7 linked regions of the Callithrix jacchus genome follow. The protein of the gene in region 3 purifies or fractionates together with the protein of the main gene of each other region. This does not show direct contact. Links are inferred from orthologs where the notes say so. Each region holds a gene or a part of one and is shown on either strand. Other genes may lie near its edges.

Region 1 (3,500 bases), on a different chromosome or scaffold from region 3:
AAATCTATTTTATTAAGTGTGAGAATTGCAACTCCTGCTTTTTATTTATTTATTTTTGCTCTCCATTTGGTTGGTGAGCTTTTTTCCATCCCCTTGTTTTGAGTCTTTGTATATCTTTAGATATATCGTTAGATTTTGTGGATAATGTATATTTTGTGTGTTTAAAATGGAGAGCCCTATTGAGTTTATTTGTTCTGGATCTTAGTTCCAGTCCCGGATATCGTTATCAATTTTCTGTCTCGTTGAATCTAAATCTCATTATGGGTCTTATGTATCTGGGTGTTAAGATCTCTTATTATTACATTAATCCTTTTATCCTTGTATCCTTGTAGCTTTGAAATCTATTTTGTCAAATGTAAAAATTGCAACTCCTGCTTATTTATTTATTTTTGCTCTCCATTTGGTTGGTACGTTTTTTTCTTTCCAACCCTTTATTTTGAGTCTATGTATATCTTTGGATATACCGTTAGATTTTGTCTGTATCTTTTGATTGGGAGATTTGGTTGATTTAAATTTAGGGTTGCTGCCGTTTGATATTAACTGGCTATTTTGTCCTTTTGTTGATAAAAATTCTTCTTTATGTTAATGCTCTTTACTTTTTGGTGTATTTTTAGAAAGGGTCATACTGGTTGTTCCTTTCTGTGTATAGTGCTTCTTTTAGAAGTTCTTGTAAAGCAGGCCTGGTGGTAATAAAATCTCTGAGTACTTGCTTGTTCCTAAAAAATTTTATTTTTCCTTCAAATGTAAAGCTTAAATTGGCTGGATATGAAATTCTGGGCTGAAAGTTCTGTTGATTAAGTATATTGAATATTGGACCCCACTGTCTTCTAGCTTGTAGGGTTTCTGTTGAGAGATCTGCTGTAAGCCTAATAGGCTTACCTTTATGGGTAACTTGATCTTTCTCTCTGGCTGCCCTTAATATTTTCTCCTTCGTTTCGATCTTGGTGAATCTAACAATTATGTGCCTTGGGGTTGGTCTTCTTGAGGAATATCTTTGTGGTGTTCTCTGTATTGCCTGGGGTTGAACAGTGTCCTGCTTTGCTAAATTAGGAAAATTTTCCTGGATAATGTCCTGGAGAGTATTTTCCAGCTTGAATTCATTCTCTCCGTCACGTTCAGGTATACCAATCAAGCGTATATTAGGTCTTTTCACATAGTCCCATATTGCTTGGAGACTTTGCTCATTCCTTTTTATCCTTTTTTCTCTATTCTTGTCTTGTTGTGTTGTTTCATTAAGTTGATCTTCGACCTCTGATACCCTTTCTTCTGCTTGATCCATTCGGCTGTTTAAGCTTATACATGTTTCACTAAGTTCTCGTGTTGTATTTTTCAACTCCATAAGTTCATTTGTATTCCTCTCTATATTGTCTATTCTTTTCAACATTTCATCTAACCTTTTTTCCAAGTTCTTAGTTTCTTTACATTGGGTTAGAACAAGTTCCTTTAACTCCCAGAAGTTTCTTATCATCCACCTTTTAAAGCCTACTTCAGATAATGGAACACAGTCCTTTTCCATCAGGGCTTGTTCCGTTACTGATGAGTCCTTTTCCATCAGGGCTTGTTCTGCTGCTGATGAGTCCTTTTCCATCAGGGCTTGTTCTGTTGCTGATGGGTTCTGATTTTGAGTATACTCGGCCTTCTTAGGCTGTTTTTTTCCCTTCATTGTAGATGAACCGCCTTTCTAATTAGTTTTCTGAGTCGACGTCCGACTTATTGATTCCCAGTGCTGGGATCCGAGCAACCCACTGTGGCAGCCTAAATAGCAGCGGTGAGACTGATGGTGCTCTTCTGCCCGGGAATCTCTGGTCTGGCTTCCCTCTTGAGTCCGCAACAAGCGGCTCTGAGTTCCCGGAGCTCCAAACTCCGGTCAGTAGGGGAAGCAGTCCCGTTGGCTCTGCATGAAGAGCTGCTGCGCCGAGACGCCGGCAAAACCGCTGCGGCGGCCACAAGAGTCGTGCTGGCGACCCGTGGGGCTCCTCCACTGGGAATCGGCTGATCGGTGAGTGACGAAAATTCGTCTAAAAGTGTGGCGTCGTCTCGTTCTCTGGGCTTTCACTGGGAGCTACAATCCTGAGCTGTTAGTGGTCGGCCATCTTGGATCGATCTCCTCATTTTTCAAACACACTAGGCACAGCTAACTTCTGAACACACTCAGGCCATGAAGGACAATCCAGTTTCCCTTCCAATCCACCACACTGCCTTTGCTCAGTCCAAAGACCTCTGTAGTTCCTACTGCCCCTGGTTCCATTTTTCCTGCCACTTCTTGCCCCCAGTAAGCTCAGCCCCACCTGCAACTCCTCCAGGCAGACGACAGGCTACCCTGACCTTGTCTCCTCTGCCCAGCATGTTCTCTGCCTCTGTTCAGCTTGAAAAACTTCTTGTGGACCTTGAACACCCCTTGCTCTCTGCGGGCCACCCCTTGGGGCTTCCATTGCACTGTTAAAATTCTGATCCCTCATCATAGTGAGAAGCCTTCAAGGGCAGGGCTTGATAACTGGATCCTCAGCCCTGCACAGTCCAGCCTGGCACCAAGCAAAGGCTTCCAGGACTCCTTTGGTTTTTTTGGTTGAGACAGAGTCTCACTCTGTTGCCCAGGCTGGAGGCAATAGCATGATTTTGGCTCCCGGGTTCAAGCAATTCTCCTGCCTCAGCCTTCTGAGCAGCTGGCATGTGCCACCACACCCAGCTAATTTTTGTATGTTTAGTAAAGACAGGGCTTCACCATCTTGGCCAGGCTGGTCTTAAACTCCTGCCCTCAAGTGATCCGTCCACCTCAGCCTCCCAGAGTGCTGGGATTACAGGTGTGAGCCACTGTGCCAGGACTCACTTTGAATGAATGAATGTGGACCCCAGCACTTGTTCTCCCACCCCAGAGTCTTTGCACAAACTACTCCTCCAGCCTTTTCTGATAAGCAGGCTTCACAGAGCCCTCTGTGACCTCCCAGGCAGGTCCTCCTTCCCTCATCTGGAGTCCCCCAGCCCCTGCCACATTCCTCTCAGGAGTCTGCTGACTCTGGGCTGGGACCACCTGTGCTCTCTGCTGGCAGGCCCTAGTCTGACTCCTCTCCAGATCCCTGACATTGCCCAGCACAGGATAAAAAGCAGGGTTAGTGTGTATGTGGCCTCACCTCCGGGAGGGCAGCCGCCGACGCATGCGGTGACAGTCCAGCACCCACTCCTTACGCACAATGCGGCCTCCGAGGCCTAGGACCTGGCTGTACTTGGGGGTGTTCGCAAAGGCACAGCTGGTGGGGGGCAGAAGTGAGGATGTCAGTTAGGTGTGATCTGAGGGGCAAAGGGGAAAGAGAGACAAGGAGACAGAGAGAGAGATCATGAGATAGAGGTGGGAGAAACAGAAAGAGGTTGGATATCGAGGGAGAGATAAAAAAATCAGAGAGCAAAAGACAAAGCTACAGAGTGCAAGCAGAAAGAGAGTGAGTGAGCCAGAGAGAGAGAGAGAGAAAAAGCATGTAACACAGCGGACACAAAGAGAAGGCACC
Region 2 (2,456 bases), on a different chromosome or scaffold from region 3:
CTGTAATCCCAGCACTTTGAAAGACTGAGGCAGGCAGATCACCTGAGGTCAAGACCAACATGGTGAAACCCCGTCTCTACTAAAAATACAAAAATTATCTGAGCATAGTGGCAGGAACCTGTAATCCTAGCTTCTTGGGAGGCTGAGGCAGGAGAATAGCTTGAACCCAGGAGGTAGAGGTTGCAGTGAGCTGAGATAGTGCCATTGCACTCTAGCCTGGGCAACAGAGCAAGACTCCTTCTCAAAAAAAAAAAAAAAAAAAAAAAAAGCCTTAAAGATCTCAAACATGGTCATACATAAAATAAACCCCCAATACTCTAGAAACTATCAAGGAACAAAATGCTGGCTGGGCGCGGTGGCTCAAGCCTGTAATCCTAGCTCTTTGGGAGGCCGAGGCGGGTGGATCACAAGGTCAAGAGATCGAGACCATCCTGGTCAACATGGTGAAACCCCATCTCTACTAAAAAAAATACAAAAAATTAGCTGGGCATGGTGGCATGCGCCTGTAATCCCAGCTACACGGGAGGCTGAGGCAGGAGAATTGCCTGAACCCAGGAGGCGGAGGTTGCGGTGAGCCGAGATCGCGCCATTGCACTCCAGCCTGGGTAACAAGAGCGAAACTCCGTCTCAAAAAAAAAAAGGAACAAAATGCTGACCTTCATCTTCATATGCCCCTCAAATCACACATTAAAGTCCTTACAGAGCCAGGTATGGTGCATCCTGCCTATAATGCCAGCATTCTGGGAGGCTGAGATGGGCAGATCACCTGAGGTCAGGAGTTTGAGACCACCCTGGCCAACATGGTGAAACCCGATCTTTACAAAAAATAAAATAAATAAAAAGATAAAATCCTTACTTAGTATTCCTTTATGTCATAAATTCAGGCTTTACAATAGTGAGAGGGGCAAGTAAAAAGTGCAGGGTGAACCTAAGACTACTAGAGTGTATAATGTGGGAGGCCCCTCCTACAGCAAGGTGACTTTTTTTTTTTTTGAGACAGTCTTGCTCTGTTGCCCAGGCTGTAGTGTAGTGGCATGATCTCGGCTCACTGCAACCTCTGCCTCCTGGGTTCAAGCAATTCTCCTGTCTCAGCCTCCTGAGTAGCTGAGACTACAGGCACCATGCCATCATGCCTGGCTAAATTTTGTATTTGTAGTAGAGATGGGGTTTCACCATGTTGGCCAGGATGGTCTCGATCTCTTGACCTCATGATCTGCCCACCTTGGCCTCCCAAACTGCGGAGATTACAGGTGTAAGCCACCTTGCCCAGCCACAAGGTGACATTTTTTATCTGGCAGCTCTCCACAACGAGGGCCCTTCCACCAGTTTGTTCACTCCACTGTATAGAGGTGAAATGAGATGCTTGGTTCCAGGAACTGCTGTTAACCTCCTTTTCTGTGACCAGGCACTGACATATGGGACTCAGGGAGAGTATCTTAAAAAATAGATTAAACCTACATTTGTTTAAAAAAAAAAAAACCCTGTCAGCTCTCAGGAGATGCAGAGAAACACACAAGTAGAGGAGTAGAGACCTGCGTCTCCAGTGCCTGCTGTGTATGAGGTGGAGGGATCACCACCTCTGTCCTCTCATAATCCAGGAGGCCAGCACTTGACTCCAAAGGACCTTTTTTTTTTTGAGATGGAGTCACTCTGTTGCCAACTCAGCTCACTGCAACCTCCGCCTCCTGGATTCAAGCGATTTCTCTTGCCTCAGCCTCCCGAGTAGCTAGGATTACAGGCGCCCACCACTACACCTGACTAATTTTTGTATTTTTAGCAGAGATGGGGTTTCACCTTGTTGGCCAGGCTTGTATGGAACTCCTGACCTCAGGTGATCTTCCCACCTTGGCCCCAACAAAGTGCTCGGATTACAGGTGTGAGCCACTGTGCTCTACTGTGAATTTTAAAAGGGGCAATCTCAGCACAGAAACTGCTTTCCCTCTCCACCATTTACAATTTGGCTCTTCTATATTCTTTACTGCATCCATTCTCCCAGCTGACTGTGACTGCTTGTTTTTCAAAACCCGCCCACATTAGCAGTACCCATCTTGTAGAACACAAGTATCCTTCTATCTGGACTTTTTCTCCTTGAAATGTAACAGGCCTCTAAAGACTTCCTCAGATGTTCCTCAGTAAATACTCCTAAAAAACCATTTCCTGAGAGTTTGTTCTCAACATGCCCTTAACTTGTTCTCATGGCTTAGTTCCCACCTCCCCAAAGCACAAGGACCCATCTGGCTCCCCCACATGCTAGAAGACGCCAGCCTCCAGAGCAGAGATGAACAACTTACGCTGGTTCTGTTTGGGCTGGTTGGTTCTGCCAGGGGGTCGTCCTCTCCGCTTCTTGGCAGGTGGTGGGGCTGGCGTCACGGGCTGAGGCTCTGGCTCGGGTTCAATTTCTACTGTAGGTTCCTCCTCATCCTCATTGTCATCCAGATCTGGTTCAGCATTTTCTT
Region 3 (3,885 bases):
GATCCTGTGCCTGGTGCTTGGTTTTCTGCCCCTTAGGTGGGGCATTCCCATTGAGCAATGCAGTTTGCTGCCTGGCATCTTCTGGGGTTTCACAGTTCTGGGTAGAAACAAGCCCCCCAAAGTCTCTTGGGACCTTGCACTGTGAAGATGAACTGTATCTGTAGTCAGAATGAGACCAGACACAAAGTACACAAATAGAGAAGGCATTTTTAATTGAGTATTACTATTAGCCCTTGGATTAGTATACCGGTGGTAGAGTTTTAATTTGGAAGATAAAAGTGCCCATGAGAAAGTCAACAATTTCAAATACAACTTTTAATACTACGCATTTCAAGAGCTTCCCTGTTCAAGTATTCCTAGAGAAGGAAAGCTCTTTCAGTTTCGAAGCATGAGAAACTGTTAGCGTTCCTTCCTTTGGTCTGCCCACAGCCCTCACCACAGAGGCAAACAAAACAACTAACAAGGGGACAGTAAGTGCAACATAAAAAAGAAAATCTAAATAGTGTGAAATTAGTTTTTATTTTTAACTAAAAATAAATGCTTAACATCTTTCCAAAATCAAAACTAAAGATGAACACGAAAAAAGGGTGGAAACATATTTTTCCTTCCCTGGGGAAACCAGTAAGGCAGACGTTCTAATGGAGCGTGATTTATCTCCACAGGACTAGTCTATGCGAACGGAATCTCTCCAGCCTTTTCTCTATGTCAGTTTTATCTATCTGGCAAGAAAAAACAAAAACAAGCCCTCCCCACAAACACAACACAAAACAAGGGACTTGAAAAGTTAGAGAAAACCTTTTAACGCGTTTCTGTAAAATCCCTTCTGAGGAGGTTTAGTACAGGTACTACCCATCAGCAACTTAGCCGGCCAGGTGAGTTGGTGCAGAAGCGCTTGGGCTGAATTCATACCAGAGTCACCGTGTGTGACTCGGCCACCTCTCCCAATTACCACAGGGAGGTCTTAAAATTGAATTTCAGTTTCAGCAGATACTTCAGATTTACCTGAGCAATGTCATAGACAATGTACCTGAGGGGAATCTTGTTAAGGAGCTAACGGCCACACAGAGAGAATACATGGGCCTTATCTTCCCCGGGCTGGCAGGATGCCCAGTGCCACCCTGAAAGTTACTTTAAGGCTTCTTCATGGGGCTGGGTTGGTGCCCTTCAGGCAGACTGAGGAGAAGAGATCATACTCTGGAAACTGAGGGAAGGCTCATACCCTGTAAGCCAGGCTATGCACAGGGAGAGACCACTAAAAGGAAACAGTCACCATGGGACACATCTACAGAACAGCCTCTAATCCTTGTCTGTCCCGGGTAATCTGACAGCATGTAAGTGACTCTGTAGCTCCAGAACATTCCTTTGTGCTCACACAGCATACTCAAGAAAGGATACTCGTTATATAGTAGACAGGTGTCATTTACACCAGATGAAATCCCAGTCCCAAGAGGAACCTCCACACCGTCCAGAGTAATACTAGCTGAAGGGTCAGGGGTAGTTTTGCCCAAACCTGCAAAACAGAAGGCACAAATGACATTAACTGTGAGAACAGAGGTGGCAAAGGTTCCAGGGAGATGAGCTCTATTTAATGTGAGTCCATTTGCTTTTCTTTTTTTCCTTTTTGAGATGGAGTCTTGCTCTGTTGCCCAGGCAATGGTGCAATCTCAGCTCACTGCAACCTCCGCCTCCAGGGTTCAAGCATTCTTCTGCCTCAGCCTCCTGAGTAGCCGGGATTACAGGCATGTGCCATCACACCCAGCTAATTTTTTGTATTTTAGTAGAGATAGGGTTTCACCATGTTGGCCAGGATGATCTTGAACTTCTGACCTCAGGTGATCTACCCACCTCAGCCTCCCAAGGTAACTTGAGATTACAGGTGTGAGCCACTGCACCCAGCCTCATGTGCTCATTTTAAAGACATATCTTTCTCCTTCAGATATAAAACTAAGGCAATAAATCAAGGTTCCCAGGGCATCAACCTTCACTGAGTTTAATGAGAGCAGCGATACCCTATAGGGTCACATTTCTGCTCAACAGAATTCCAAAGCAGCCACTTCAACCGGGCTGTGGAAGGTTCTAAATCATATGCTGCAAATTCTAGCAATCCAAGATGCTCCAGGCACTACTATGTCACAAGAGGTCCCTCACTGTGGTAGCTGCAAGTCAGGTTAAAGCCCAAACCCATGTACTTGGTTACCGGTGCCCGCTCCTGTGGCACTTGTGATACTAGCTGCAGCCACAGAGAGTGAACTGTGTGTTTTAAATTATTATACTTTTAAGTTCTGGGGTACACATGCAGCTTGTGTAGGACTGTTACATAGGTATACACATGCCATGGTGGAGTGAACTGTTTTTAAAAATGAACTGCTTGCTGTATATCTTGCCCATTTAAAAAAAATAAATAAGTAAAATGAACCTTCAATCATGGTCAGCTGCAGCATATTCCACCACCTAAACAACAACAACACACATACACACACATGCCCCAAAAGATAAAATGAAATCTCCAGCTGTTTGACAGCCAGCCACAAGGCAGCATTCTCAGGACAGCAAGACACCGCTTCTGTACTGTTCAGGGTGCCTGGGGCTGTAGCAGCAGCTTCGGAAACACTTTACCTTTGACACTGTGCTTGCCCTTGGGTAACTTGCTGATGTGTGAAGCGTGCTTCAGTTCATACCTATTTAAGAGTGGACAGTCTCAGAAGAGGCCTTCACACTGGGCTCTCAAAACCAACAGTTTGATTAGAACAAGGTGAGATATGGAGACGAGTTAAAAACCCACAAAACCCAGACCATCTTAACTGCTCAGCTCCCTCTCGAGTTTCTGGAACTCCTCCAGAACCCAAGGCTGCAGTTGTGGCTGAAGTTTGTGCCCAGCGATCACTGCTATGGGGCTGTTTTCAAGGAAAGGCCCTATTTGGAGCAGTGGTCGGCAGCTCTGGGTTTCTGTTCACACTCCACAGTCCCCAAACCCCTGGCCTTTTACATGACCCTGTGCTTTTGGTTATAGTTCACAGGATGTCCAAATGAAGCTGGACTAATCGATCTTTCTCTGTGGAGAATCTAGAAATGGGATTAAGATTCTAGTTCCATTTGGGTTGGTCTAAGAAAACTGAAACATTGGTGAGTGGAGGAGGAAGCCATGGGGGATCGTCCTTTGTGCAACTCAATCTCTCTGCTTCCCAGTCCATGGAGAGAAGACACTGCCGGCTCCGGAGGACTGGTTGCATTCTGTTCTTGCATTTTGTGAGGTATCCTTGTATCTCCCTTGTTCCCTTAACTTGAATTGGATTCTGCTACTTACAAGCAAAGCATCCTGATTGGTGGGCCCAGTAACTGTAGTGGGGAATTTCCACTCTCCCAGCCAAGGGGAGTTCTGCCTAGCCCACTCCATCTGTCCCCATGAAATGCCACCCGTTCCAGAGCCAGGTTTACTCACATGTTTCCAAGGGCAACTTCTCCCAACAGGATTAAGCCTATTGGGTCTCCCTGAGACGTATGGCAGTAGTTAGCACTCTTGGAGACCATGTCAGCGAAATAGATCCCTTTACCAAACATGTAGCCTGTCTGGAAGGTTGGAAAAGGGATAGTTGAGAATCTTCTGATGGAAAATTAGGAACAGCTGTTCTCTGAGTACCAGCTAGAGCCAGGAGCCCAGCTAAGTGCTGCAATCCATCACTTCTAATTCTCACAATGCCCGTGGTAAGGAAATACCAAAGGTTTAGCCCACAAGCCAGGCTGCTCAGATCCTAGCTCTGCCAGGTGCCAAGGAGCAAGAAGTTACATCACTTCTCTGGACTCTACTTGACTCTTTTCTCAAATGGGGAACATAATCTCATGGAGCTGCTGTGAGGATGGAATGAGCTCATCAATGTTACTTAAACT
Region 4 (3,978 bases), on a different chromosome or scaffold from region 3:
GGAGGCTTCCTGTTCTCTGCAGGGTTCATGCCGGGCTCCGACAGCGCCCTAGTCGGAGGCTGCACTGCAGTGTGGACTGCCCGGTATCCTTAGAGAAAGTTTTGACAGTAAGTGTGAAGTCATCGTCGTCTCTGACCACATATAAAACGCGCCATGCATTTGGTCGCTATTACAGAGCACATGTATGTGCAGGAAGCCGCACCACCAGCGCAAGTATTTCAGAATCAAGATCGTACTCCTGTTTCCCCTTCTAGGGAAAGGATTCTAGAGAAACACTGGGAAAACAGATGTAATTGTGATATAGCTAACTTAAGTTGGAACCTGTATGCTGCCATCTTATAAAATACAAAAATGTTTCCATTCTCCTCAAGGACTGCTAACCTTGGTTTCTGTAAATTGCTAGATCATTTGCAGGATGCAAAGAGAGGTAAAGCTGCATACCTTCTCTTATCTGCCAGAATTGCTGGCCTTTGTTTCCCAGAGTAAGCACCCCCAGATCATTCCATCCTGGCGCCAACCAACTGAAAATCTATGGATCCCACCCCTACCCAGACGATGTGTAAATGAATGCTAATCTTAGCATCTGTGAACCCTTAAATAACAATCAGAATGTCAAATAGTCCCCTGGCCCTCGAAAGGTCCGGAACCCCCTCACCCTCCTCTCCGCCCAGAAGGTGATTTGAATCCACTGGCCCTCGGAATTTCTGAAGCCCCTCACCCTCGTCTTAGCCTGGGAGGTGATTGATAGCTTTCATTCCCATCTCCACCCCAACTCCCAAGGTGGTTTTGCGGGTATGAAAAGGTCTTGTCTCTCTCCTTTCGGGGCCACGGGTTGGAGAGACGTGAGTCCTCCGTGGTCGCCGGCAATAAACCCTGTAATTTGGCATACTTTTGTTCTGGTGTTGACTTTCTATGCTGAGTTCGATATAACATAATCTCTTAGGTCAAAACTCCAGGTCTTCTCATAGGAAGGCCCCTGAGCTGTCATTCTGAGGCGCCTATTTCCCCCGCCCCGCATCCACATCCACGAGTCCAGGAGTCCACTAACTCCCCGGGGTCCCTCTCGTCTTCCGCCGCGGACGCACCTCTCTAGCTCCGCCACACCCGCCTGGCCCGGCCCCGCCCCTCCCCGCCCAGGACGCGTGACGTCACCATAGGCGCCGCGCGCCGCGCCCCCTGTCAGGGGCAGCCATTGTTCCGCAGGTTGTGCCGGTAGCGCAGGTCGCGCCGGAGCTGGGTTGTTCCTGCACCCCTCCCCAAGTCTGGTACCTCCGTCAAGCTGGGAGAGGGCTTCAATCCCTGGTTCTGAACACTCTGGGGTTCTCGGGTTCAGGCCGTTATGAGCAAACGGAAGGCGCCGCAGGAGACTCTCAACGCGGGAATCACCGACATGCTCACGGGTTAGCACCGGGCCGGGCCCTGCTGGCTTTCTTTTTTCCTTTTAACCCCTTCCCCTCCCTTCCCTCTCTCCCACCCCTACAGTCCAGTGGGTGGAGTCGACCCCTAGCAGCGGGTAGTCCGTGGGGATCTTTCTCCGGCGCTCCTGGATAGTTGTCAGTCCTGCTGGGGACACCTGGGCCATCGCTTGGACTGCTTTTGGTCTGGCCCTTGTAGGAAACAGGTAGTCACTGTCTCTTGGAGGCTGCCACGTCCCTTTCCAGAAAACATTTCTTGTTTGTTATTCGTGGTTCTTGTTCACCGAGCCTCTTGTTGCTTTTTCAGAACTCGCAAACTTTGAGAAGAACGTGAGCCAAGCTATCCACAAGTACAATGCTTACAGGTGGGACAGTGCAGCATTCTCGGGTAGCATGCGTTCTGGGATGGCCTGTTTAGAGTGGCAGTTAACAGGACTGAGGACCCAGTGGATACTTGGTCCATCTACAAGAGCGGGGGAAAAGCAAGAACCGAGGCTGGTACCTTACTCAGTATTCGTTGAAGAGTGCGGGCAGTTCTTTATAGGATCAATTCAGATAAGTTCCCAGTTCTGATTGTAGATAGGTATAGCCTGATATGTATTTTTCTCATCATCAAACATGAATTACTAGAAATGCAGTGTAATTTTAACCGTATTGAAACACAGCAGATGAAGTCCATACTATGAAATATATGTGGTTCAAGGAATTACATTTTTTCTTCTGGTTGGTCTGAAGCTGATCCTGTAGCATCCTCATCTAACCTTCATGGGATCCTGTCCTTATCCATCTCACCAGGGGCCTTAACCTATTCATTCTTTCCATAAAAGGCTCCTTAGCCTTTATTTATTTATTTATTTATTTATGAGACAGGGTCTCCCTGTGGCATGATCATGGCTCACTGCAGCTTCAACCTTCCAGGCTCAAGCGATTTTCCCACCTCATCCTCCTGAGAGTCTGGGACTATAGGCACATGCCACCACACCCAGCTAATTTTTTTTTTCATTTTTTTTTTTTGTAGAGATGGGGTTTTGCTATGTTGCCCAGGGTGGTCTTCAACTCCTGAGCTCAAGTGGTGTACCTGCCTCAGCCTCCCAAAGTGCTGGGATTCTAGGCATCAGCCGTGCCAGCCCTCCTTAGCATATAAATATGTCCAAGTCCTTCAGCTCTCAAAACCAAAACCAAAACAATCTTAACTTCCCTCTAGTTAGCACCTTATCTCTTTTCTCACTTTACAGTTAATCTTCTTGAAAAATCTTCATTTCTTGCCTGGACTTCTTAATCCCTAGTCATTTAGTCATTAAGAAGTCCCAGTTCTTGCCTGGACCTACCCTTGCTCTGGAAATCCTCTCACCTACATCTCATCTTACTGGACTCTCAGTGGCATTCACCCCTAGCTCATTCTGTGGAAGTCTCTTGATTTCTGTAATGGCATTCTTTCATCTTTTCTTCTGTCTTACTTTTCAATGTTGGTATAGGTTGAGCATCCCTAATCTGAAAATTAGAAATGCTGTAAAATCTGGATGATTGCCAACATGATGACGCAAGTGGAAAATTCCACCTCCGATCTCATGTAATAGGTGGCAGTCAAAACTTTGTTTCATGCACAAAATTGTTAAAACGATTATATAAACTTACTTTCAGGGTATGTGTATAAAGTGTATGAGAAATATAAATGAATTTTGTGTTTAGACTTGGGTCTCATCCCTAAGATATCTTATTATGTATATGCAAATATTCCTTTTCTTTCCTTTTTTTTTTGAAGATGGAGTCTTGCTCTGTCGCCAGGCTGGTGAGCAGTGGTGCAATCTTGGCTCACTGCAACTTCCGCCTGCCGGGTTCAAGTAGTTCTCTTGCCTGACCCTCCCTGGTAGCTGCTCAGCTAATTTTTTTGTATTTTTAGCAGAGACAGTTTCACCATGCTGGCCAGGTTGGTCTCAAACTCCTGACCTCGTGATCTGCTTGCCTCGGCCTCCCAAAGTTCTGGGATTACAAGCATGAGCCACCATGCCCAGTCGTAAATATTCTAAAACCTGAAAAAAATTCAAAATCTGAAACAGTGCTGGTCCCAGGCATTTCAGATAAGGGATAGTCAACTTGTGGTTCCAAGAAGTCTGTCTGCCCTTAGCCCTCTTTTCTGTAGTTTCCCTGGCAATCTTGCCATTCTTGACTTTGAAATGCTACTAATGTAGTGACTCCAAATCTGTGTCTCACTGGACTTTTCTCCACATTTTTAGCCCTATATTGTCTTTATCCCAAGTCAGCTCCCTTCTTCCATTCCCACTCCCCGCAGTTCAGAGCTGATTGTGCTCCCTCCTTTCCTTACTTCTGTGATTTCCTATGTAAAGTAAAATAATTGTATTATCATCCATACATTTGCTGATTGAAAAATCATAGCAATATTCAACTTTGTTTTCTATTTGGATCACAGCAGGCCTCCGAAAGGAGGTGTTTAGTTTTGAAGAAGCTCATCGGGGGTAAGTGAGAGGGCCATTAGTGTAGACAAATAAAATGTGCGAAGGCATTGAAACATGAAGGGTATAACTTTTTTTTTTTTTTTTGACGG
Region 5 (4,118 bases), on a different chromosome or scaffold from region 3:
GCATTATCTCAAATTGCTAACTAAAGTTACCGAAAAAGAAAAAACAAAAGTCGTGTGTGTAAATAAGGGGTATGGGGACCAAACCGGAGAGGGTGTAAAATGACAATCCCGGGAAGCCAGGCGCAAACGCGTCTTGCGTCCAGAGATTCGTAATCCAGGCTTCTTAGAAGAGAGAGGGAGGGATGAGGAGGAGGGGGTTCAGGGTGAGGGCAGGGGGCAGAGGCCGGTGGGGGAGGGGATGAGCCGTCTTAACAAATGTCAGGGTTGGGCGCGGGACCGACGCTGCAGGAAGCGCCCCCGGAGCCCGGCACCCCGCGCTGCCCTGGGGCCCCCAAAGTTGGCTGGCCGGCGATCGGCGACCCACTCCCTGGAAGGAGAGGCGCCCCGGCCTCCCTCGGCCCCTGCACCTCCTTGAGCCCGCACACCCTGGTCTCTGCCCCCCCCCCGGGGGGGCCCCACGAAGGGCCTACACGGAAGCTGGCGAGCGCAGACCCCGCCATACAACCCAAGGCGCCAAAATTCCCTAGAAATATACAAGTCTGCTCCGAGGAGGCCATCCGGCTGCACACAAACCCAGAACCCGGGCCGCAGGGGCATCCCCGCCCCGCTCTGCCCCGCTGCCCCGCGCGGCCCAGGAGAGCCCGCAGCCAGCGTACGGGGCAGCCGAGCCCGCCACAGCACCCAGGGCGCCCGCGGCCCCGCAGGTTGCCAAAGAAAAGGGCTCCTCAGAGCCCCCAAGTTTGCGGTGGGACCAATCTGGGAAGTGTGACCTTCCAGGGGAAGGAGGAAGGAGGGCCGAGAGTCCGCGATCGCCACTAGAAAGCTAAATACACAGCCGCCCGTAAGAGAAAGCCAAGGCGCCTCTCCAAGGCCCCCGGCTCTGCGCGCTCGCCAGTTCTCAAGTCCAACGCCTGGAGGAAACCCACTCTCTAGCCCGCGCGTCGGGCGCAGCACAGTCACTCAGGGCCCGCAGCGGCAGCCAAGGGGTTAATCGGGGAAAGCCCAAGACACCACAGAAGAGGGAAGGAAGAGAAGGAGAGAGAGGGAGAGAGAGCAAAGAAAGAGCCACACAGTCATCTTCCCAGGGTGAAGAAACAACCACCGCCACCAAAAGGGGAGGGGGAACCAGAGCGCAAAAGAAAAGTTCTTCGGATCCCCCCCACAACAAAGCCCTGCTTGGAAAGAGAGGTCTCCCCAACATCACGAGGCAGCAAACTGAAAGCAAGAACGTGGCGAAGTGCAAACAAATCCAGTCCACAAAAGGCAGAAAAGTTTGGAGAGTTTCGGGCCGCCTGGGCCGCGAGCGGGGGAGGGGAGGGAGGGAGGGGAGGAGGCGGGGAGGGGGAGGCGGGGAGGGGGCAGGGCAGGGGCCGCATGCAGGGCCCGGCGGGCGGCGCGGGCGGGCGGGCAGCGGGCGGGGGCCGGGCGCGGAGGCACTTACGGTTCGGGCGGTGGGCGAGAGCGATCCGTTGGGGAGGTAGGGGCTCGTCAGGTCGGGGATCATGATGAAGGGGTAGCCGGGATACGGTGGCCCCTTAAAGAGCCCTCCATCTTGCCTCTTGGCCGCTAACATGGCGGGGCGGCGAGAGGACGGCGGCGGGCGCGCGGAGCGGGAGAGAGCGAGGAGAAACTTTTTAGAAAGTGCCCCGAGGGGCCGGGCGCCCCGGCCGGACCGGCGCGGGGCCGGACCGAGCGGGGCGCGGGGCCCGGGCGCGCGGGGCGGGCGGCCGGCCCGGGGGGCGGCTGCGGGGCGCGCGGGGCGTACTCACCTTCTTCCAAACTTTCTCGGGATTTATCTCGGAAACTTTCGGAGCGAGGCGGAGGCCGTCTTTCCGCCTTCCCGGAGGGGTGGAGGTGGGGAGGGCGAGGGGCAAACGCCACGCAGAGGGAGGAGAACGGGGAGAAAAAGAATCGGCGAGGTCGGGGTGGGGGGGTAGAAAAAACAGGGTTACAAGTTTTTGCAATGGTGGCACCGCACGCACACGCCGCCCGCCGGGCCCCGCCGCCGCCCCTAGCCCCGATTTCTCCCCTTTCAGCAACATTTGCCAAGCCCAGGAAACAGATAAAAAACCCCACCAGCCCGAGGGGCTTTTCCTACCTCGGAATCGGAGGAGCTGTTTTGATTCGTTTCTGATTCATTGACTAGAGACGATTTGACATCAGCTAAATCCCTCTCTGCCGAGGAGTTTTCCGAGCTCTTCTCCTCCTGTTCGCCCTCGTCTTTGAAGGAAATCAGTTCGTCGTTGGCGCCTAGGTCATCCCCTCCACCGCCGTTCAGCTGCGGCATTTTTTTCACCCACCAGCAGCAATTTTGGAAGAAAAATGAAGGAGGAAGAAAACCAAAAAAAAAAAAAAAACACCCCCAAAAAGTTTTGCCCCCCCCAAAAAAAATTGCAAGAAAAAGACGAGTCCAAGGTGAACTTTTTTTTCTGCTTGGGGGTCTTTTTCTCCTGGGGAGGGGAAAAGAGGGAGGAGGGGAGGGGAAGGGGGGGGAGATCTTCTGCACGCGTGAGTTTGGGTTTCTTTTTTCTCTCGTTCCCAAGGATCCGATCAATGTGCGAAAAAATAATAAATAAAAAAGGGGGGTTAAAAAAAAAACACCAACAACAACAAGAAGTCAGATATAAAGAGCAAAGGGGGGGGAAGCCGAAGATACAGGAGGTGCTCGTGCCGCTCGGATTTGAGTGAGTTGAAGTTAGACTGAGAGCTTTTCAGTTCAAAGGCGGCGCTGATTGACAGATAGAAAAAGGGGGATCGAAATCCGGAGGAACGGAGTAGTCTGGGAGCGGAGATTATTGACAGGGCGAGAGGAACACACTGCCTTAATGAGATGCCGGAGGGCGGGGCCTGCCCGGTGACGTGTGCATAAATAAACAGCCCGGGTGGGCGGGGCGGGGGCGGCTAACAATGATCCTTTCGGGCGCCGGGAGAGGGAGGAGGGAAAGGAGGAGGAGGAGAGGGGCGGGGAAGCAGGGGGGAGACGGAGGGAGGAGTGTGCAGGGGGAGCGGCCTGCGCGGAGTGTGTGCGAGCCCTGGATTCTGGGCGAGGGTGCAGGGACTCGCTCCGGGAGGGGGCGGTTTCAGAAAGACAATGCGGGGTGGGAGAGGAGGAGAAGGGGGTGGCGACCAAGTCAGGAATCCGAGCCGAGGAAGGCGGAAGGAAAGCCCACTTGAGGGGCGGGGATGGGGAGAGGCCCAGAAAAAGTGCAGTTTAGTAATATTAGAAATAAGTCTTAAGAGAGGGGAAAAGGAAGGGTAGAATTGTGAGAAAGTGGTGGCTGGGGGCGGGGTTTGGGGGGGATGCTTGGTGGTTAATTCAACAGTAGAATCAGCCACCCTTGGGCGGCATGCGACAGAGGTGGTCAAAAGAAAAAATCAACCCTCCACTTTCAGAGAGCTTGGAGAAGTGAAGGGGCTGGTCAAAGTTCCTGGTCATCTACAATGAAAGAAACTATTAACCCATGAGGCCCCCTCCTCCCTTTTTTGTTTATTAGTAGTGAATCATTTCATGAATTGTTAAGTCCCACTAGGATAAATATGCCAAAATGACTTTTTATCCAAAAAACAAATACTAAATGTCAGAGACATTAAAAGTATCCTTAAGGAAAAAATATAGGATTCTTTTACATGTAGAGTGGTGTTTTAGTGGTTTTTTGTTTTTGTTTTTTTTTTTTTAACTGACGTTGGAGCTGGTAGGATATGAGCTAGAGTCAAAGTCCTTTTTGAAAACTTCGGAGGTGAAAAGTTTGGGCGTTAACACCGCCAGGGAAAAATAAAACTGAAAGTTCACCGGGCCCCTGGGATCAGTTGGGCTGCAGTTTTTTTCGAAGGGGCTCTGAAATGAAATCCCCGAAAGACTGACCAAATAATCAAGATGTAGGTGGCTGTGGCAGGAAATTGCTAACCAAACCAATGCTAGGAGACCTCCGGGAGAAGATGGGAAACCTGGGGCTTGAGGCAGGTATTTGTTGACTTTTAGTTACTAGAGGAGGAGCAGACTGATTTGCTACAAAATGGGGAGTGGGATTATGTTAAAGAGGAAAGGCCCGGCTCCCAAAACACAGTGTTGCTGGGTGATACAGCAAGAAGATTCATTTTTGTAGATGTTCGGTAAGAGG
Region 6 (4,154 bases), on a different chromosome or scaffold from region 3:
CTGTCTGTGCCTGGATTCAAATCTCAGCTGTGTGCTTCTTTCTGTAAAATGAGAATAACAATAGTGCCTACCTCATAGTTTATTAGGAGAATTAAATGGGTATATATAAATAAAGCACAACACCTGGCACATAGCTAATTAATAATAGCATTATTTCTTCAAGTTGGAATCTTTGGGTACATTATCAAATTTTAGCTATTCTGTGTTCATGGGCTGTGTAGGATAGAGGGATAAAACTGAGTGGCTAATAAGAAGATGAAGATAGAAAACTAAGCTTAAAGGACATACACTTCAATATTTCTATATGTACAGAACTTGTAAGAAAAGCAGTTTTGCATACATGAGCAAGCATCACTGAACTAGATGGCACCTTTCAAGAGACTGGTTTACATATTGAGATATGAGAATGAGAACCCTGAAATAAACTGATTCAGAGGAATAACAGAAAACATATAAATTTCTATACATATAAGGTCGCTGAAAACTTCCCATCCTGAATGAAACATTTAATGAAATCCCAAAACGCAACACTATTGCAAATAAGACACTGTCATAAAATTTTGAAATACATACGCTTTTAAAGATAAAAGGCCTGCTCTTCCACCCTCTTCATTTTCCTACAAATTAGGAAAATTTAATCAGTTCTGAAAAAGGAAATGTACATGCGAAAATGGTGAATACTGCTAGAGTTCTGATGTTTTAAACCACAGGCTTGCGATCAAAATAACCTCTTTAATTTTAGATTCTCATGCAGATTAATTTCTTTCTCCAGTTTTTCAAGCACTATTCTGTTTTTTTTTTTTAAAAAAAGGAGGGGTTCAAAGGGAAAGTAATATCCATGCTTTTCCCGATTAAATTGCTCAACCATTAAAAAGGTGAATAAATTAGAAAGCCCTAGAATACTCTACCCCCTCGGTCCGCCCCCCACCACCCTTTTTTATTTCTTGAAAGGGAAAAGCAGTTCTTTTGCCAGGGGATCTTCAAGCCGAAACTCGGCTAGGCACCCCAGGGCTTCTCCCGGATCGCAAAACTGGATTTCTGCGCAGCACCACCTGCAGTTCCTACACGCGTTTTACTTCCTCCACCCCAAATCTGCTTGCTGGAGCTGCATTCTTTCAGAGCCTCTGGCCCCTAATACAAACAAAGTACACTCTAAAGCAGCCAGAAGGATCCAAGCAGCGAAGTCGCGGATCCCCACAGGCAGGAGAGTGCAGGCAGGCAGCGGCGCGAAACCGGGACGGAACGAAGAGACGCCGGAGCGAGCCCGCGGGTGCGCGGCGCGGCTTCCGCCCCGCGCGGCCCCGCCCCCGCGACGCGCCGGGTGGTCACGTGAGGGCCGCGCGCGTCCCCGGCCGCTGCGGGCTCAGAGGCCGGAGAGAAAAAGACTGCGAGGTGTCCGCTGCTGTGGCCAGAGAGGTGGCAGTCGGAGCGAGGCCCTGTCGGGGGAGCAGGGAGAACTCCGGCCACTCCAGGACCCTCACTGGGGGAGAGGAAGCATAGCTCGCGGTGTCACCTTCAGCCGCGACGTACTCCGGGTCGGCCTTGCGCTCGGGGCCTGAGAGGGGCGGCGGCGGGGTCAGGGGCCGGTACGTAGATGGACGCCCTTGGGCTGGCGCGGCCGCGGCTGCCCGCGCAGAGGCGGGATGGGACAGCTCAGCCTTTTCCGCCACCCCAGCCTTGGCTGCGGTCGCAGGCTAGACGGCCGTGACAGCCCCTGTGCTGCCCGAGGGCGCCGCAGACCCTGCCCTGGGTGACGGCCTGAGCTGGTCTCGGTCGGGGTGCGAGGGGCGGAGCAGCGGCCATTACTGCGCAGCCTCTTCCGCCGGAGCCCGCGTCGGTGCCTCGGGTAGCAGGCGGGTCCCTCTCCTCCCCCTGGGCCGTGGTGTCAGGCCTCTACGCGGGGACCTTCTGGCCTCGAGGTGTAGGGGCGGCGATGGTTTTTTGGCAGTAGCCTGCTCCCTGTTTCCCGTGTGGGGTCAGACACTTTGGGCCTTGGGTCAGATCGAAGCCAGGGCGTACAGTCTGCATTTTGTCTTTTCCCGGAGTGTCTCTGGCTGCTGCTTTCTCTGCTCTTTCTCTTCCTCCTTTTTCTCCTCCTGCTCAGTGTCTCGGTCTTGCCTAATACGAAGAGAGCATTCCTGCACCTTGTCCTAGTGAAGCCCCGCATTGCATATTCTTAGCTGTTTTGACGGCTGTTAAAGCATCGGAACAATTAAGAGGTCTCAGAATGTCCCTTGAGCCTCCAGACCCTCTGTACATCTTAAAAGCCGAGGCTGTTGCTTTGTTCTGGTTGTTGGGTGGGGAGTTCTCTTCCTACCCTCCATCCAGTCTGAAGGAGTGCGGGTCTTCCATTGTTGTCGCTATTTATTTTTCAAAGGCTTCTAAAGAATGTAAAATTATTTTTAAGAATGTGGAGAGGGAACCGTCCTCTCCACAGGACTGTAAGTTTACACACACATCCTGGCAACAAGAATCTTTTCTCGTTCATCATTTTGGTATACGTTTTAATTTAAGTGCCGTTTTAGTGAGCACTTATTTCTCAAGTTTTGAACATTTTAAGTGATATTTTTGTAATATTGAAACAATGTACAACTGAGGAGAGAAGAAAGCCAAAAGATGATGGGGAACGCTTTGTTCTTTGTATGATTGACATTTCAGGTGCTGGGCACATCACCCCCACCCCGTGTGTGTACTTTTCAAATGGGATGTGAACGTATAATATTGGCATTCAATGCAGTATATAATTATAAATCTGGAAGACTTAGGACATTTTAGTCAGTGAATCTATATTTAGACTTTTAAGACATGGCACGTAAGGACACATGAAGAAAATATCCCACACAAATAACAGGATTTGTGATTGTGCCTTTGCTGTTTTATGACTAGCAAATACTGTTTTTGTGGACTGTCTTGGTGCCCTAAAAACACATGAAAATAGGTCAAGTAAATCTCATTTTAAAGAGAAAACTGGAAGAGTGAATGCCACTCTAAAAATAGATTTTGGATGTGTTTGTTTTGGTGCCTTGTATATTTTAAAGTGGAGGATGTTGTTCAGCCCAATCTTTCATTTACAATTTGTGTCTCAAATGGGCCAGTGTATGCTGTGGGCAGAATGGAAATACATTTAGTTTTTCTTTTCTTCGATGGTTGTTCAGAACTTGGTAGAATTATAATCATCAGGAAAACTTTGTCCAAATAGCTGGTCTTTAGACAAGAGGAAGAAAAAACAATTAACTGTTTTGTAAAGGCGATGTCCACTTGCAAAGTGTTTTGTTTCAGTCTCCACCAACTTACATTGTCAGAAGAAAGGAACAGACATTTTTTTTTAAAAGGATCCAAAACGATATTTTGAGTTAGAAGAAAAGGATATTAAATTTTCTGTTTTCACAATATCTATCTGTTTAAAGAATATTATTTTATGTGCTAGCCATATACTAGCATGAAACGTCTAACAGCACTGTCAGTTGGGAATTCGAATGTGTATTTTTCTTCGGTGTTAGTAATAAAAGGTACTGAGCCTTTTCCATTCTCTTACCTGGTTCCCTTGTGCCTGAGGAGTCTCAATTTGTGAAAACAACAGGCTGGATCGGGAACAATCTTTTTGGGTATAGAAACCAATTTATTTAACACTTGGCTACAACCACCTGTGCTTACTTATGAACTATCTTTAGTTTTCATGGCTTATTACCTTTTGGGTTAATTTAAATCCAAAATGGTTGTTAACTGACTGCTAATTAAAGCATTTAGAACGTAAAATATAAAGTAGGACGAGATAACAAAACACTGGGGGTTATGACTTGACCAAAGTCACACAGATAATTTGCCAAAGAGCCTTTCTTATTTATGAAATGGTTGCTGGCTAAGAAACATCTGTGTTTGATATTATTAAAAGATTTGTTCACTTTTATATCTCATGTTTTGAAATAAAATGCAAAGCCCACTTTTTTGTTGTTGTTTTGAGAAAAATTGAAGGGTTTAAAGCGCTAGTATAAAGATTGTGAGGTCAATAAGTAGATTGCCACATAGTAACGTTTTTAAAGGGAAATATTCTTTAAAGTATCAGACCCCATTTAGTTGCAGTGAGTTTTGTTGAAGTTTTCGAGTATGACCTATGCTTTTTCTTAGCTCATTTTTAGCAGGTGATGATGAGGGCT
Region 7 (3,522 bases), on a different chromosome or scaffold from region 3:
GCAATTACCCCAGGAGACTGAACAGCAGGGTCCAAGCCTTCCAGGGATTTGCCTCACTATGAGCCCCTGATGACTGCCTTGCCTCCTCAGTATGTGAGGGCTTCATCTCTTTAGAGAAATCCAAGCCACAGCCTTTGAATGTAACCAGTTCTACTAATAAACCGCTCTGAAGGTGCTTTTTGTTGTTTTTCTTTCGTGGGGTGGGCAGGAAGATATGAACAAAGCCCTTTCATCCTTACTTCTGAGGCTGGGACTTTTGCCCAAAGTTCTCCTGGAACATCCTTTCTGCTTCTGCCTAAATAGTTTTCATTTCACACAGAATAAATTGTCTCCCAGAAACACTGAGAAACAGCCATAATCTTAAATTGCTATGGTTTGTCCCTTCTCTATAACAGTAGAGCCTATTTATATTGCATACCCTTCCCACCCCCACTGTCTCGGGAAGGTGTACAAAGTCACTAATTCTACAACCCTCTTGCAGAATGAATACAAACGCTCCATTTAAAAAAGAAACAATCCTTTAATAAAATTAGTCCATCTAAAACTCCCCAATGCCTCAGGTTCTAGTGTTGGAAGGGTTAGCTGCAAAATTCCAGTTCGAAAGCCAACAGAGGCTCAGTCCAGACAGGGATTAACCGACTTGTGCTGGTATCTAGGTGCTTGGATTGCCGAGTCGAGTTTGCTGGAAGGGACATGGGGCAGCGTGGGGAGGCCCGACAGGCCTGGCTGCCAGTTGGCTTCCGCGAAAACGACTCTCGCTGTCCACATAGCCAGCCGTGAAGCCAAACTGCAGGCCTCCACCCTCCCCCAAATGTCCTCCTAGGAGGCAGTCACTCGGGAGGAAGATGTGCCTGTTACCAGGTGTTTCGTCCCGGCCCCAGCGCAGACCTATGAATGAAGATGGAGAGCTGACGTGAAAGGCCTGAGTCCTGGCCGCAGAGGGGGCGCCAGACGGATATCAGCGAGCCCATCTCTCCCACCAAAGCCTCCAGGCCAGCGGCCACGTCTCAAAGTCCTGGGCTAAGCACCACGACGGGGGAGGACCAGACGCCCCGGCTGCAGCTGCCGAGGGACGGACTCACCTTCAGGGCCGCCGGCCTCTGGGCCTGGGCTGCCCACCTCGGCCCTGCGTCAGAGCGGAAGGCCAAGTCTTCCAGAAGGTGCTGCGGCCTCCCCGCAGCCCCTCGGCGACTCAGGATCGGGCGGCTGAGTCACGAGCGCCGAGGCGGGCAGGTGCGGCGTCGCCGGTCTCCCCCCGGCAGGCTCGGGTCCTCCGCGCCACGGCGGTCCCCGCAGAGCGCCCTAGCCGTTTCCGGACCGCTCGAGCCCTGCCGGAGAGCGGCCGGCGGACGTGGCAGGGCCCGAGGCCGACGCGGCAGGGGGCGCGGGCCACGAGTGGGGGCGGACGGGGACTCCAGGACGGGCGGTGGGCGAGGGGAGGGGCAGGGAGGCGGGAGCCGCGGCCCGCTTGCTCCGCAGTCTGAAGTGGCTCAGCTCTTTCCGTGAGGGCGGTGGTGGCCCTTAAAAGGGCCTTTGTGGTGGCATGGGGAGGCCTGGCGGCCGGCCGCGACGCGGGCCCTCTTAGTACTCCTGGGAGGCCTGGGTGGCCTTCTTGCCGCCTGAGGGCGCCTTCGGCCCCACGGTGGCGCTGGTCTTCTTGGGCAGCAGCACGGCCTGGATGTTGGGCAGAACGCCTCCCTGGGCGATAGTTACGCCGCCCAGCAGTTTGTTGAGCTCCTCGTCGTTGCGAATGGCCAGCTGCAGGTGGCGGGGGATGATCCGCGTCTTCTTGTTGTCGCGGGCCGCATTGCCCGCCAGCTCCAGGATCTCAGCGGTGAGGTACTCCAGCACTGCCGCCAGGTACACTGGAGCGCCGGCGCCAACGCGCTCGGCGTAGTGGCCCTTCCGCAGCAGCCGGTGTACGCGGCCCACGGGGAACTGGAGGCCGGCGCGCGACGAGCGCGACTTGGCTTTGGCGCGGGCCTTGCCGCCAGTCTTGCCGCGGCCCGACATGCTAGCGAGGTAGACCGGCGAAGCTCAACGGCTCAGAGACACCAGGACAAACACTCTCCGCAGTCCAACTGCTGTCGCGCGCGCGCGCCGAGAGGCCGTTTTTATAGGCCCCCAGGACACACCTCCGCACCCTCCTGATTGGCCCTTTTCTCCAGTACCCTCCTCCGATTGGTTGCGATTAACCCTTGGGTGTCGCGCCTCTGCTGAGGTAGCGCGCCCGTCGATTGGTTAAATTTGAAAACCTTTTGCCCGGGGAGAAAAGGCGAAAAGGAGGGGTAGCGGGCAGACGGCCAACCACCCGCGAACGTAGCCAATCATTGTAAAGCGCGCGAGATTTAAACGGTACAGTCGGAAACCAGAAGCTGAAGACAGAAGGGGTGGAGTCTGAGGCCACCTAGAAAACTTCTGGGAAATTGTGCTGGAATAGGAATTTTAAAGGACAGGGGTCAATACTACAGCTACCGCTGCCTCCCTTTCCAGGCCAGGTCACTCTCTATACCCTTCTCCTACCTGGCAAAGGGAGAAAGGGAAATTAGACCCTTAACGTTCTTTTCTTTCTTTCTTTTTTTTTAAATAGACCGGGTCTCGCTCTGTCACCCAGGCGGGAGGGCAGTGGTGTGATCTCGGCTCACTGCAGCCTCGAACTCCTGGGCTCAAGGGATCTTCCCTGGTCAACCTCCCTAGTAGCTGGTACTCCAATCGCGCCCCACCATACTTGGCTAATTATTTTATTTTTGTAGAGACAGAGTCTCGTTTTGTTGCCCAGGCTGTCTTGAATTGGGGCTTAAGCAATCCTCTTGCCTCTGCCTGCTAGTGTTGGGATTACAGGTGTGAGCCACCACACCCAGTGACTCTGAAAGTGTGATCCCATTCCACGAAACAGGGTAACTTTAATCTTTTGGCCCTCCTGAAGTATCAGGAGTTCTTTTATTTTGTTTTTGAGACAGAGTCTGGCTCTGTTGCCCAGGCTGGAGTCAGTGGCACATCTTGGCTCACTGTAACATCTGCCTCCCAGGTTCAAGCAATTCTCCTGCCTCAGCCTCCAGAGTAGTTGGGACTGCAGGCACACACCCCCACATTGGGCTAATTTTTGTATTTTTCGTAGAGACAGGGTTTCACCATATTGGCCAGGCTGGTCTCAAACTCCTGACGTCGTGATCCATCTGCCTCAGCCTCCCAAAGTGCTGGGATTACAGGCGTGAGCCACCATGCCTAGCCAGGATTTCAATATTTATTCAACATGTTCTGTTTGGTCTCAGTTCTGTTCATTTCTTGCTAGAAGAAAGGAGAGAGGAGGCCACTATTTGAACCCTCCTCCATGGCTAATTAATAGGAAGAGCACTGAAGTGGAGTCAACCTCAGATCTGTTTCTGGCTCTGCTGCTTACTGCTATCAGAACCACCGTATCAGATTATGCAAGGGAGAGAGATAGGCATCCTGTTGGTGGAAGTACTCTCACCAACCCTCTCAATCTACCCAAAAATGCCCATATAGGAAATATACCTACAG

Evidence for each region.
Region 1: the proteins of PARP1 (region 3) and XRCC1 purify together in Homo sapiens (affinity purification with western blotting; 9 studies listed by BioGRID and IntAct, with this or other methods). This does not show direct contact. The link is inferred for Callithrix jacchus from reciprocal best matches to the Homo sapiens genes PARP1 and XRCC1.
Region 2: the proteins of PARP1 (region 3) and CTCF purify together in Homo sapiens (affinity purification with mass spectrometry; 6 studies listed by BioGRID and IntAct, with this or other methods). This does not show direct contact. The link is inferred for Callithrix jacchus from reciprocal best matches to the Homo sapiens genes PARP1 and CTCF.
Region 4: the proteins of PARP1 (region 3) and POLB purify together in Homo sapiens (affinity purification with mass spectrometry; 4 studies listed by BioGRID and IntAct, counting the BioPlex papers as one, with this or other methods). This does not show direct contact. The link is inferred for Callithrix jacchus from reciprocal best matches to the Homo sapiens genes PARP1 and POLB.
Region 5: the proteins of PARP1 (region 3) and TCF7L2 purify together in Homo sapiens (affinity purification with mass spectrometry; 3 studies listed by BioGRID and IntAct, with this or other methods). This does not show direct contact. The link is inferred for Callithrix jacchus from reciprocal best matches to the Homo sapiens genes PARP1 and TCF7L2.
Region 6: the proteins of PARP1 (region 3) and RNF146 purify together in Homo sapiens (affinity purification with mass spectrometry; 4 studies listed by BioGRID and IntAct, counting the BioPlex papers as one, with this or other methods). This does not show direct contact. The link is inferred for Callithrix jacchus from reciprocal best matches to the Homo sapiens genes PARP1 and RNF146.
Region 7: the proteins of PARP1 (region 3) and H2AX purify together in Homo sapiens (affinity purification with mass spectrometry; 9 studies listed by BioGRID and IntAct, counting the BioPlex papers as one, with this or other methods). This does not show direct contact. The link is inferred for Callithrix jacchus from reciprocal best matches to the Homo sapiens genes PARP1 and H2AX.

What each region holds. Positions count from the first base shown.
Region 1 is NC_133523.1:38,039,787-38,043,286, forward strand, and holds part of XRCC1 (DNA repair protein XRCC1), read right to left. Parts: intron 3,246-3,500; coding exon 3,129-3,245; intron 1-3,128. UniProt on the Homo sapiens protein: Scaffold protein involved in DNA single-strand break repair by mediating the assembly of DNA break repair protein complexes. Negatively regulates ADP-ribosyltransferase activity of PARP1 during base-excision repair in order to prevent excessive PARP1 activity.
Region 2 is NC_133521.1:25,145,733-25,148,188, reverse strand, and holds part of CTCF (transcriptional repressor CTCF), read right to left. Parts: intron 2,454-2,456; coding exon 2,292-2,453; intron 1-2,291.
Region 3 is NC_133520.1:22,886,382-22,890,266, reverse strand, and holds the end of PARP1 (poly [ADP-ribose] polymerase 1), read right to left. Parts: intron 3,568-3,885; coding exon 3,440-3,567; intron 2,679-3,439; coding exon 2,617-2,678; intron 1,511-2,616; coding exon 1,396-1,510; intron 1,028-1,395; coding exon 946-1,027; 3' UTR 501-945; downstream 1-500. UniProt on the Homo sapiens protein: Poly-ADP-ribosyltransferase that mediates poly-ADP-ribosylation of proteins and plays a key role in DNA repair.
Region 4 is NC_133514.1:44,073,577-44,077,554, reverse strand, and holds the start of POLB (DNA polymerase beta), read left to right. Parts: upstream 1-1,178; 5' UTR 1,179-1,339; coding exon 1,340-1,400; intron 1,401-1,721; exon of another isoform or gene 1,722-1,722; coding exon 1,723-1,780; exon of another isoform or gene 1,781-1,808; coding exon of another isoform or gene 1,809-1,909; intron 1,910-3,978.
Region 5 is NC_133513.1:105,892,385-105,896,502, reverse strand, and holds the start of TCF7L2 (transcription factor 7-like 2), read right to left. Parts: upstream 2,801-4,118; 5' UTR 2,288-2,800; coding exon 2,099-2,287; intron 1,837-2,098; coding exon 1,770-1,836; intron 1,567-1,769; coding exon 1,442-1,566; intron 1-1,441. UniProt on the Homo sapiens protein: Participates in the Wnt signaling pathway and modulates MYC expression by binding to its promoter in a sequence-specific manner. Acts as a repressor in the absence of CTNNB1, and as activator in its presence.
Region 6 is NC_133505.1:133,838,748-133,842,901, forward strand, and holds the start of RNF146 (E3 ubiquitin-protein ligase RNF146), read left to right. Parts: upstream 1-1,354; 5' UTR 1,355-1,586; intron 1,587-4,154. UniProt on the Homo sapiens protein: E3 ubiquitin-protein ligase that specifically binds poly-ADP-ribosylated (PARsylated) proteins and mediates their ubiquitination and subsequent degradation. May regulate many important biological processes, such as cell survival and DNA damage response.
Region 7 is NC_133511.1:18,753,534-18,757,055, forward strand, and holds H2AX (histone H2AX), read right to left. Parts: upstream 2,090-3,522; 5' UTR 2,014-2,089; coding exon 1,582-2,013; 3' UTR 501-1,581; downstream 1-500. UniProt on the Homo sapiens protein: Variant histone H2A which replaces conventional H2A in a subset of nucleosomes. Nucleosomes wrap and compact DNA into chromatin, limiting DNA accessibility to the cellular machineries which require DNA as a template.